Ovis aries: one gene and its partners. The protein of the gene in region 1 purifies or fractionates together with the protein of each later gene. This does not show direct contact. Links are inferred from orthologs where the notes say so. Each region holds a gene or a part of one and is shown on either strand. Other genes may lie near its edges. The genes, in order: ILK, SDF4 and CCT8.

Region 1 (3,746 bases):
TGTGTGTATTAAAGATGCCTCCAGTTGCAGTGTAAAGAACCGAAAGAAAAAAAAAAAAAACACTGAAAGAGACAAGCTGCAGACAGAGGCCAGTGGCGGGGATTACAGCAGTGGGTCGAGGGGTTGAAGAGGAGAGAATAAAGCAGGCAGATTTCATGTCACAGGCTGACTGAAGGACAGAAAGAGCCTGAGCAAGTGCAGCAGCCCTCACATCGGCAGAGGCTTAAAGGAGGACTACTGTCTGGGAGGCCGTTCTGGACTAAGTCCCACTGGACGGATCCCTCATCCTGGAGACTCTCAGTACTCCCTCAGCTCCAGCTCCCTTTGAACAGCGGCACTGACAGCCCTCGTTGCCATTCAGTTTTGCTCTTTTCAATCTCCACACGGCAACCAGTGACATTTTCAAAACGCAAATCTGAAGAAATCATCCCCCTGCTAAAACACTCCATTGGCTTCTATCTTTAACGTGCAAATATTCTAACGTAGCCCTCCAATTTCTACCACACTGCCTCTCATTCTGTGTCATGCTCCCTTGACCCGGGTCTCTCCACATGCCTTTCCTTCCAAGAAACCCTCTTTGCTTCACTAACTTCTACTCACCAATTCTCTCTCAGTTCCAACGTCACTTTCTTTTGGAAGTTCCGGATCTGGGGAGGCTGCAAGCGGCCCCCCTCCCCCTAATTACACACGCGGCGCGCCCCAGCTCCGGAATCCAGCAGTCTGTTCTGAGTACTCCTGCAGGGCCACTCACCTTGATTTGAGAGGTTGCCGTGGGCCGAAGCCCTAAGGCTACAGACCCGAGGTCCGCGACTACAGGGGCCTCCTCGGCCCACTCCGGCTCCTCGAACATGGGGCTGGGGAGCGCAAGGTTGCGGGATCCACCCGCTTCTCCACGTGCAGACCACGTCTCTAAGAATCAGACCGCTCAGAGACGCCGGAACAGGGCAGGAAACCAAAGAGTGAGAGCTGAAGTGGCTAGAGCAGCCGGCGCAGTGCCGAAAACCATCGAGTTTAGACACTGGTGGGCTAGAAGGGCAAGGAAGGCGGGAGGGAGGGGCCGGGAGAAGGAGGCCCGCGCTGGCCTGAGAGGGCCAGGGGCGGGGCCGGGCGGCGGGCGCGGCCGGACGGGAGTTCCCCGGAGAAGGCTCCTCTAGCCCGAGTCCCGGTGAGTGTGGGGGCACCCGTGCCCCCTCCCCAAGGCTCGAGCTTTACCAGGCGGTCACCCCTCCCTCCACCTACTCGGTTCCGAGTCGGGAACGAGGGCCATCCTCGGCAAGGACCTCCGATCGCCTCCTCCAGGGTATACGGCGCCTAAACTCCCCACCCCCACCCCCCAGCTCTGTTCGCGGGTAGGGTCTCTGTGCTTGCTCTCGTGACATCCCTTCGGAAGACACTACCTCTTCATCAACGCCTACTTCGCCCGATCCGCCTTTCCCTCGCGCTCAAGGGACACAGTCCAGGACCATTCCGCTGCCTCCCTAACTCCTTACAGACATCCAGTAGCTGGGGACGCAGAGCCCAGACCCCCAGCCCAACACCACACTTCTCTCCTGTAGGGGACAAAGCCTGGGGCTCACCCCCCCCCCCCCCAAGATCCTTCTACAGTTCCCACACTTTCCCAGTCTAGGGGACTCTGCCGGGACGCTGCTATGGACGACATTTTCACTCAGTGCCGGGAGGGCAACGCGGTTGCGGTCCGCCTGTGGCTGGACAACACGGAGAACGACCTCAACCAGGGGTGAGCTGGGGTGGCTGGGGGGCGAGAGGAAGGGCAAAGACATGCTCCTCTCCGCTCTGTGGGGTGCTCACTTCTGGTGCGGGCGGCTTACTTTCCTATTCAGTGTGATGAGGATTAAACAGCCTGTCAGCGGGGCAGAGGGTCTCCACACCGGAAGCTGTTGTTTGAGCTGAATCTTGACTGAATAAGAATTTACAGGCAGAATCTGCAGAGTATTCTAACTTCAGTGAACCTCATGGGCAAAAGCTAGGGGGCAAGACACGGAGCAGAGAGTGCCAGAAACTGTCCGGAGCTCCATATGGCTAGAGGAGAGAAAACCGCTGGGCTTCTGTGGGCTAAAGCTCTAAGCACAAGTGCAGAATGACAGAAGTTAAGACTGGAAAGGTCTGCAAGGGTCAGTCAGATCATGCAAGAGTATTTAGGCTATAATAATTTTTTATTGCAAGGGCAAGGGTTTAGAGCCATGTAATGGTACGATGAGATTGTCCATTTGTTAAGTGTCATCTTGGATGCTTTATGAAGAGCAAGTGGTGATGTGAAGAGAGGCAACTAACTGCCTAGTCCATCTCAAGTGGTGATGGCTTAGACTAGAATTGGGACAGGCAAAAAAGAAAAAAGTGATCAAATTCCTGAGATCTTTTGGATAAAGAATTGGTGAGACTTGGTGTGGAAAGTGAGGTCAAAGATGATGATCAGGGTTCTGGCTTGGGTAGATAGTGGTTCCTTTTATTGAGAAGGACAAGGCTGAAGGGTGGTGAGTTCCACTCTGCACACATTTAAGTGACAATAAAGTGGATGTGGAGTGGGCTGCTGGATTTCAGGAGAGATCTGACTTGGAGACAAAGATTTGGGCGATATTAGCATGACTGGAGAAGGCAATGGCACCCCACTCCAGTACTCTCGCTTGGAAAATCCCATGGACGGAGGAGCCTGGTAGGCTGCAGTGCATGGGGTCGCTAAGAGTCGGACACGACTGAGCGACTTCACTTTCACTTTTCATTTTCATGCATTGGAGAAGGAAATGGCAACCCACTCCAGTGTTCTTGCCTGGAGAATCCCAGGGACGGGGGAGCCTGGTGAGCTGGTGTCTATGGGGTCGCACAGAGTCGGACATGACTGAAGCGACTTAGCAGCAGCAGCAGCAGCAGCATGAAGATGGGCTTCCCAGATGGCTCAGCAGTAAAGAATCTACTTGCCAGGGCAGGAGCTGGCAGGAGATGCGGGTTCAACCCCTGGGTCTGGAAGATCCTCTGGAGTAGGAAATGGCAACCCACTCCAGTATTCTTGCCTGAGAAATCCCATGGACAGAGGAGCCTGGAAGGCTGGTCCATGGGGTTGCAAAGTCAGACATGACTAAGCATGTACACGCATGCACACACAGACACACACAGCACGTAGATGGCACCTGAAGAGGTGGATATGAAACCGGATGAGAAACCTAGAAGACCAAACAGGAAAATATGCTGCTGCTGCTAAGTCGCTTCAGTCGTGTCCGACTCTGTGCGACCCCACAGACACCAGCTCACTAGGCTCCCCCGTCCCTGGGATTCTCCAGGCAAGAACACTGGAGTGGGTTGCCATTTCCTTCTCCAACGCATGAAAGTGAAAAGTGAAAGTGAAGTCGCTCAGTCGTGTCCGACTCTTAGCGACCCTATGGACTGCAGCCCACCAGGCTCCTCCATCCATGGGACTTTCCAGGCAAAAGTACTGGAGTAGGCTTAAAGAAGTGAATGTTTCAATGAAAGGAGTGGTCAGTGGTACTCTAGATTGCTAAGAGGTCAAAGAACTTGAGCACTAAAGTGTAACCATTGAATTTACAATTATTTATGTATTTAATGATCTCTGTGAGAGCCGTTTCAGAGGAAAACAAGTGAAAAAAACCAGACTATACTTGGTTCCTTCATTTAAGGAACTATACTGAACACGCACTGGGTGCTAGAAGTCCAGAATCAGGCATAATGCTTGTCCTCAAGGCAGTGGTCTCCTGGGCAGGTTGAATGTGAAGTAG
Region 2 (3,646 bases), on another chromosome or scaffold:
CCCACAGTGCATCTACAAATACCAAATACAGCAGCACTGGCCCTCCCAAAGCAGAGGCAGGCAGGGCCACGGGCACCCGCAGGAGGCCACGATGCACTCAATCCCGACGGCCAGGCGGGCACGAGACAAACGGGGAATGCCTCAGGAACAGCTGGAGCAAGTCCATCAAGAGATGACAACACACTGATGACAACGGCGGGGATGACGTGCCGAGGAAAGACCGAACGGGAGACCACAGATGGCGTGCTACGCTCTGACAATGCCCATCGAGCCGAACCCGACACCTGGCTGAGAACAAACCCCGAGGGAGGGATGGGAGGGCAGAGCTGAAGACAGCAATCACTAAACGTCCTAACAACACTTCAGTGATGCTTCAGAACTCAGCTAACAGGCATCAAATTGTGTATCAGTGAGACAGGTTTTTAGAGGAACTTCTCTGAAAAGCTAAGGGGAGAATTACATCTGTCGCCACACTCAGTAGCACGGTCGCCAGGCACCATCGGCAAGCGCCCCCATGACCTCACTGACTCTCAGGATCAGACCTCATCCAGGGTTGAGGACCAGTCCCAGCCGAGACCCACTTCCCAGTGCTCTGGTACCATCTGCCACCTCCTCCCCAGAGCTCAAGCCACTAGAGGCTGCCGTCTGTCCCTGCGCCTCCCCTGCAACGTGCCTTAGGGTCCTGGAGGCTCTGTCTCAAGGGCCTGCAGGAACACAGGCTGTGGCCACGTCTCACCCATGCCCCGCCCAGCACCTGAACTGTCTCGGTGCTACGCCAGCCGTGGGAGCTAAGCACTCACTCTCCTCATCGATGTTCAGGTCCCACTTATTCTTTATCTTTTCAGCAACTTCTCTCTCATTGTGGCCTTTGGTTGCCAAAAACTTCACCTTGTACTCATCCCAAGATACGTGGCCTGAAAGAGCAGACCAACCTGTTAGGAGCTTTAACAAGGAACCTTTTTTAAAAAGAGAATTTTAGTTATTTTAAGCCATCGGTCAAAAATCTTTGTGCCACGGGCAGCTATAGAGGCAGAAGCAGCAAAGCACCAGCTTCAAGTTTCATCCCTGAGCCCAGCCGTGCAGATCCTCATCTGCACAGCCAGTGGCACCCCCCACCCTCCCTCATCCTGGAGCCCTACTCCTGCCCATGAGCTGTCCTCTGCCGGCAGCCTCAGGCCCCTCAGGGTCAGGTCATGGGCTGGCCATACCGTCACCATCAGGGTCCACAGCTCGGAAGTGTGCCCTGCTCTCTGCAACAGCCTCCTGGAAGTGCTCAGCTGTTTTCTGCATGATCCATTTCTGCATCTCCTTGGCGCTGATCCTCCTGTCGGTGTTCAAATCCACCCTGCGGGCCCACAGGCTGCGTCAGACGAAGCCTCCAGGACCCCGACAGACAGAAGGATGGCCAGAGGGGCTCCACAGGAAGAATGAAACCACCACCAACAGTAACACATCCCACCCGAAGGGCACACAGGAAAAGCTGAGTAGATACGGGGGAATCAGGGAGCACGCTGGGCAGTGCGCCTGGCCCTATACCATCAGTCTTGGGACCACCTTGCTACAGGATGGGGCGCATCATCAACCCAGTTCTTCGGACCACACACTTGGGACGCAAGCCCAGTGAGCCCCAATAACAGGACTGGATTTCAGACACCAGGGGAAAGGCAAGTTGACACACAGATACAGCCAGCAAGACAAAGAAACAGCTGTAGATGCAGGTGTGTTGAGAGATGTGCACATGTGAGTGTGTATATGGCTAATGCACACCCATGGATGTGGCTCAGAACACACACGCATGTGTGACTTGGTGCACACAAATGTACACACAGGTTAGCATGCACAGATATGTTATCAAGTCCATGGAGAGGACTACAAGCAATGACACCCCAGCAGCAATGCCCACACCCACTGCCTGGTTCTTCATCTCTAAATCTCACTCTCCAATGAAATAAACTAGCGCTCCTTGGAGAACTGCGGCAGGAACATTACATGAGTAAGTGAAGCTGGAGTGGCTGGCAGTGCGAGGAAGGGAGGAAGTGCTTAAAACAAGGAGCTGGGGGTTGATGATGTCCTGGTGGCCAAGGATGGAACGGATGAGCAGCCAAGGCTGGAACAGGGAAGTAGCCAGACAAACAGCACAGAGCTGGGTCCCCTCCAGAGTGCAGACACACACCCACAAGTCCGTCCTCCTCATGGAATTCCAGACTACACGGTGGGTCTTCCCTGAGCTTAGCTCCCACCCCCAGCAGGGTGGGCTGCCTCTCCCTGAGTGGCTGCCAAAGAGACCAGAGACTGCCAAAGAGACTGCAACTCTCCTTGGCAGATACCACCTGAGCCATGTGACCAGGCATACAGCCCCCATGATGTCATGCAAACATCAGGTGCCCTGATGTGATGTGACAAGAGGGCCACCTCACTTCTGGGGTCTTCTTTCCAAAAACCCACAACCCCTGTCCAACTAGGAGAAAACACGGCAGACAAACCCCAAATCAGGAACATGCTACAAACACCTGAGGAGTCCTCCTCGTAGGTGTCAAGGCCACGAAAAGGTAGGATCCTGGATGGGATCCAGGGCAGAAAGAGGACCCTGGGGCAGCATGTGACCTGAAGCCTGGAGTACCGGGAACAGTAACGGAGCGCTACCGTGTTTTAGTTTCCACAAATGTGCCTCGGTTTGCAACTTTTCTGTAAATCTAAAACTGCTCCCAAAATAAAAACCTCGCTTAAGAAGTGCTGCGGCAACATTACTTCTGCTTGCTCGAAACTATGTCCTGAGGCTTCTTGTTTGCTCTGGTCCGGGCGGGGCAGGCAAGGAAACAGCAGTTCACACATGGCAAAAACATGGGGCCCCACGTGGGAGAGACAGGTGTGTGGGGAGTCAGCAAGAAGGTAAATGCAGGCTAGACACCCCTCGCCCCAAAACAACCCCGCCAGACACAGGATGTATAACAAAAATGTACAGTGTGGATGGACGGGGCTGGAGCACATCTGGTCAGCCCCAGGACATCCAGTCCCTTGGAGGCTAGTTTCTGCATTTCCCCACAACCTGGGGGGTTCCCCATGACCTGAACCCCACTCCCACCCCTGGGTGGGCACAGTGCGCAGCTCAGGGCTGCACATCCATGGTTGAAATGCTGCCAACTTCCCAAGAGCACGTGTTAGGGCTCCACCTCCACAACATGGCACCAAGCGGGGACTTGGTGCAAAACCAGGGCAGGACCAACAGAGGGGCTGAGGCCAGCCACTCCCATGCCCCCCACAGCTCCCAGTGACACCTACTTGGAGAAGATGACCATCAGCTTCCTCCGGCTCTTCCGAGGCTCTGCGTCCTCCTCAAAGTCATCCATGTCCTTGCCCAGGAAGACCTCCTGGTGGAAATCTTTGTTGAGGTGCCCATCCATCTCCAGCTTCACCCCGTTCAGGTGGTCCGGAGGCAGGATCTCGTTTTCCTCCCTATTACCTGCTCTCTCTCGAGCAGATGAGTGGTTGGCAGGCCGGGCGGACGCATTCATCAGAAGGACAACACCCAGGAGCCAGAGGCAGCAAGGAGCCAGGCCACAGAGGGGAGCCTGCCTGGAGGCCATGGCCGCCAGGGTCTGCGATGCGGGACAGGCTGCAGATGTGGCCAGGAGCTGCAGAGAGAGAG
Region 3 (3,746 bases), on another chromosome or scaffold:
TCAACTTAAATTATATTGACATGTACAAAGACTAAAATTATTTACTTGAAAGTGTGTTTTGCTTATTCCATAAATTTGTATCAATTAATTCAGTTGATGGGAAGCAAGAGAGAATTTTTCTCCCTTAAATTATGTCATTTTACTTAAGAGAACTATTCCACAGCTGTAACAATGGTACTACCTCAAAGGTGAAAGCACCATAACTTTTCTATCCTCTCAATAGGACAAAAAGTAACATTTTGATTACAACTTTTCTAAAAAGATCCAAACTGCTGATTAAAGATTAGGAAAACTGTACAGGAGTTACTGAACTGTGAAATGATTTTCAACACTACAGTGTATTATGGCTAAAATTCTCAATTTACATATAATATCCTCAAACAAGTTTCAAAGAACTACTACACAAAATTATATTATAGTACTGTATTTTTTTTTAAACATGAATTTAGAAATTACCATTTGGTCCATATGCTGTACGAGTTGTTTGGGCCAGCTCTTTGCAAGCCTGTATGTTCCTGTACACAGCCTCTTCTAATCCTGAAAAATGCTGTAGAAGAAAATTTCTGATTAGGCAGGACAATGAATCTCAATAATTTCTTCATCTGTAAAATAATAGTACCTGTCTCAAAAGACTGTTGACATTATCAAATGAGATTTATGTATGTAAAGCATGGTGTTTGGTGTTCCTATGATACCAGATACCATCCTAATTCACAGATTTGTCCACAAGTTGAATGAATAAGGCATGACATTTTTAGGGACCATGAGTACCTACTTACACATCAAAACATAAAGCTTAATTTTTTTTAGTTTAGTGAAAAGTGCAGAGAAGAGTGCTAAGCCTGATTAGAGAAAGCATATGAACCATTGCAGATTATAAAAATACCTTTCCAGAGTCTACCAATTCTTTCTAAAAGCCGAAATGTGGTATGAATGTGATAAAACCTGAGCACTGTAGAGTCAACAGGTCTATGTTCAAAGGGAATTAACATATTTGCCTTATACATTTTTAGAACTAAAGCATACAGATTTTGAATTCTCATTTGAACTGAAACAAACTGTTCGTTTGTACACATTAATTCCAACGTGTATACACTGAAAACTGAACTGCTCACAGTACTCAAATTTTCAAGTTTTACAATGAACTTCTTTTAGACATGGGATTTACTTGTGAGTCTCAGATAAATTTCAAGAGCCTACTGTTCATGTGAACATCTTTTTTCTTACTGTTTTAACAAGTCAAACTCACTTCATCCTCAGTGAGTTTGGTCCCTTAGCCTGAAACATTTCTGCCTTTAATCTTGGCCACTAAGCACAGAGCTGAGTTCTTTCCTTAACATTTTATTTACTGTTCTACCCCAAACTTTCCTTTATAATTTTTTTTTAGAGGCGCACTTTCAATTTCCTTTATCATTATTTGAAATTATCCTTCTGCTTATTTGGTCACTTATTTCTGCCTCAGAATAAAAAAAATACGGCCACTTCCCTTTTAAAAAAAAATTAGTTCATGTCATTTTCAGCAAAGCTCTTTCACCAATACTTACAGTAAACCTCCTTACCTACTAGAGTCACGTTATCCCCAAAGTGCATCCTCGCCAACAAGAAACCTAGTTCCCTCAAACTGTTACCACAAATGGAACCACAGTATCTACATTCGTTTAAGCACAGCAAGTCTGGGTGACAATAAGGGAACGCAACTATTTGAACCTAAGAGACACACTTACAGCAGTGTGTCTAAGACATTAAAAAAACAAACAAAAAACCATGCTGTTGAAATTACTTTCAAGATCTCGCCATAAAACAAAAGCTTTACTTAGCTCAGGGTGTCACTTACTCTGTTGGTTACAACTATTTCCGTCCAATCTCCCCAACTGAAAGATGAGGAAAGTAAGACCCAGAGGATTAAGTTTTACCTCAAGCTGGCTAAGTTCAGAACAGAGCCCATTGGGATTGTAACTAAGATTTATCCTATAATGCACTATTTCTGCTAACTAAATGGGGAGCTCGCCGTTTCTCATTTGCAAGAGTTGCCTCGTCCCTCTCCTCCCTGGACCACCCGCTCCTGGAACCGTTTCGCAGTACTCAAAGCAACCTCACCTACGTTATTTCACCTACTTCGCGCCCCTCAAAGGAGAGCCTCCTCACTCCCGTTTTACTGACGGAGGAAAAATGCAAAGAGCGGCCTTCACACCCTGTAAGGCTACAAAGCAAAAAACGCGCCGCCTGCGGCCTCGTCGTCCACTCGCCGTTTCTGGCCGCTTGCCCCCCTCTCCCGGGTTCATTTAAAAAAAAAAACTCGAAATGCCCGGGGCCCTCCGCGGCCAAGCTCTCCAGAGAACACCTCCGTTTCTGGAATCTTCTTTCCCTCCGACCGCTATGTCGGGTGGGCACGCCGGGCCCGTTGGTAGGCTTTTCTTCTTGACTGCGGCCGCCGCGGCTCTCCCACCTCACTCCCTCTTCCTCCTTTTCTTACCTTCGCTCCCTCCTTGAGCATCTGGGCAAAGCCCGGGGCCTTGGGGACGTGGAGGGCCATGACCAGTCTGCAGGGTGCCGTTCACGCGCCCTCTCAGGAGATCCTGGAAGAAACGAGAGGCGCGCACAGCTTCCTGGGAACGTAGCGTGCGGCCGGCTCACGCCCCTCCTTTCTCTTCAGCCGGTCCCGCCCTTTCCCCCGGCGGCCTAGTCTGTGAAGCCTCGCGAGAAGGAGCAGTTAGCGCCGCCAGAACTGAGTTGACGATTCTCGAGCTGGTCGATCGATGGGGTGGCTCGATCGGGCTGGGCCTTCTGTCTTCCTGCCGACGCACGCGTAGGCTGCCTGGCGGATGTGGCTCGCTCCCGGAGGTCGTTCCCTTCGCTTAGACTCATAGGCTCTGTGCTGGGGACTTTTGAATGTTGTCAGTTTTGTCCTTGAGTTTTGCAACTCCTTCCAAGAGTAGCTTCCGTGTAAATCTTCCAGAGCTTCCCACGATATCAGCCAGGTGGGCACCCCTTTTTTCCCGAGGCCGAGGATCTGCCTTCATCCTCCAAATCTGTGGTTGAACTTGCGCTCAGACTTGGGCCCTGTAGCAGCTCTGGGGACTTGAAGGTGATAAATGAAAATCTGAAAGGAAAACTACGTACTGAGTGCTCATATGTGCCAGGCCCCGTTATTTGCTTTATGTGCGGTATCTTAGCTAGTGGTCAATCTTTTATTAATTACTTTGCAATTTACAATTTAGTTTGTACAAGATCACAGCGCTAGTAGTGTTAAAACTAGGATTTCTACCCAGATTAGATTGCAAAATGCACGTTGTTAGGCAACTGTATTCCTCTTTCCTCCTTTTCTTTTTTCTTCTGTTTTTTGGCCGCCCCACAAGCATGTGAGATCTTATTTCCCCCGCCAGGAGTGGAACCCCGCCCCCCTGCAGTGGAAGCATGATGTCTTAACCACTGGAACACCTGGAAAATCCCTTTCCTGCTTTTTCTTGGAAATATAAACCCCTTTTACTTTCCCACAGTCCTTTAAAACCTGACCTCTGTGTCATCCCACATCAGCACATGACTGATTTCAAAAGACTGAATAATGGCAGAATACTTCAAAGAATAATTTCACACAGTGAAAGTAATCCACTCTCCTAGTAGAAAATATAGACAACTGAATAGAACGTTTGGCTTGTCTTTTGTTCCTTGGTCAGACACTTGCAAATGATTTATTTTCCTTAAATCGGGACAGATTTAGTGTGTCTTAAGGAATAATCAAATGTGTT

What was found.
Region 2: the proteins of ILK (region 1) and SDF4 purify together in Homo sapiens (affinity purification with mass spectrometry; 3 studies listed by BioGRID and IntAct, with this or other methods). This does not show direct contact. The link is inferred for Ovis aries from reciprocal best matches to the Homo sapiens genes ILK and SDF4.
Region 3: the proteins of ILK (region 1) and CCT8 purify together in Homo sapiens (affinity purification with mass spectrometry; 4 studies listed by BioGRID and IntAct, with this or other methods). This does not show direct contact. The link is inferred for Ovis aries from reciprocal best matches to the Homo sapiens genes ILK and CCT8.

What each region holds. Positions count from the first base shown.
Region 1 is NC_056068.1:46,202,884-46,206,629, reverse strand, and holds the start of ILK (integrin-linked protein kinase), read left to right. Parts: upstream 1-1,112; 5' UTR 1,113-1,300; intron 1,301-1,622; exon of another isoform or gene 1,623-1,627; 5' UTR 1,628-1,649; coding exon 1,650-1,738; intron 1,739-3,546; exon of another isoform or gene 3,547-3,746. Other genes in the region: RRP8 (ribosomal RNA-processing protein 8), read right to left, coding at 752-850. UniProt on the Homo sapiens protein: Scaffold protein which mediates protein-protein interactions during a range of cellular events including focal adhesion assembly, cell adhesion and cell migration.
Region 2 is NC_056065.1:50,591,771-50,595,416, reverse strand, and holds part of SDF4 (45 kDa calcium-binding protein), read right to left. Parts: intron 3,633-3,646; 5' UTR 3,585-3,632; coding exon 3,280-3,584; intron 1,346-3,279; coding exon 1,209-1,345; intron 915-1,208; coding exon 801-914; intron 1-800. UniProt on the Homo sapiens protein: May regulate calcium-dependent activities in the endoplasmic reticulum lumen or post-ER compartment. Isoform 5 may be involved in the exocytosis of zymogens by pancreatic acini.
Region 3 is NC_056054.1:127,699,084-127,702,829, reverse strand, and holds the start of CCT8 (T-complex protein 1 subunit theta), read right to left. Parts: upstream 2,593-3,746; 5' UTR 2,534-2,592; coding exon 2,474-2,533; intron 548-2,473; coding exon 457-547; intron 1-456. UniProt on the Homo sapiens protein: Component of the chaperonin-containing T-complex (TRiC), a molecular chaperone complex that assists the folding of actin, tubulin and other proteins upon ATP hydrolysis.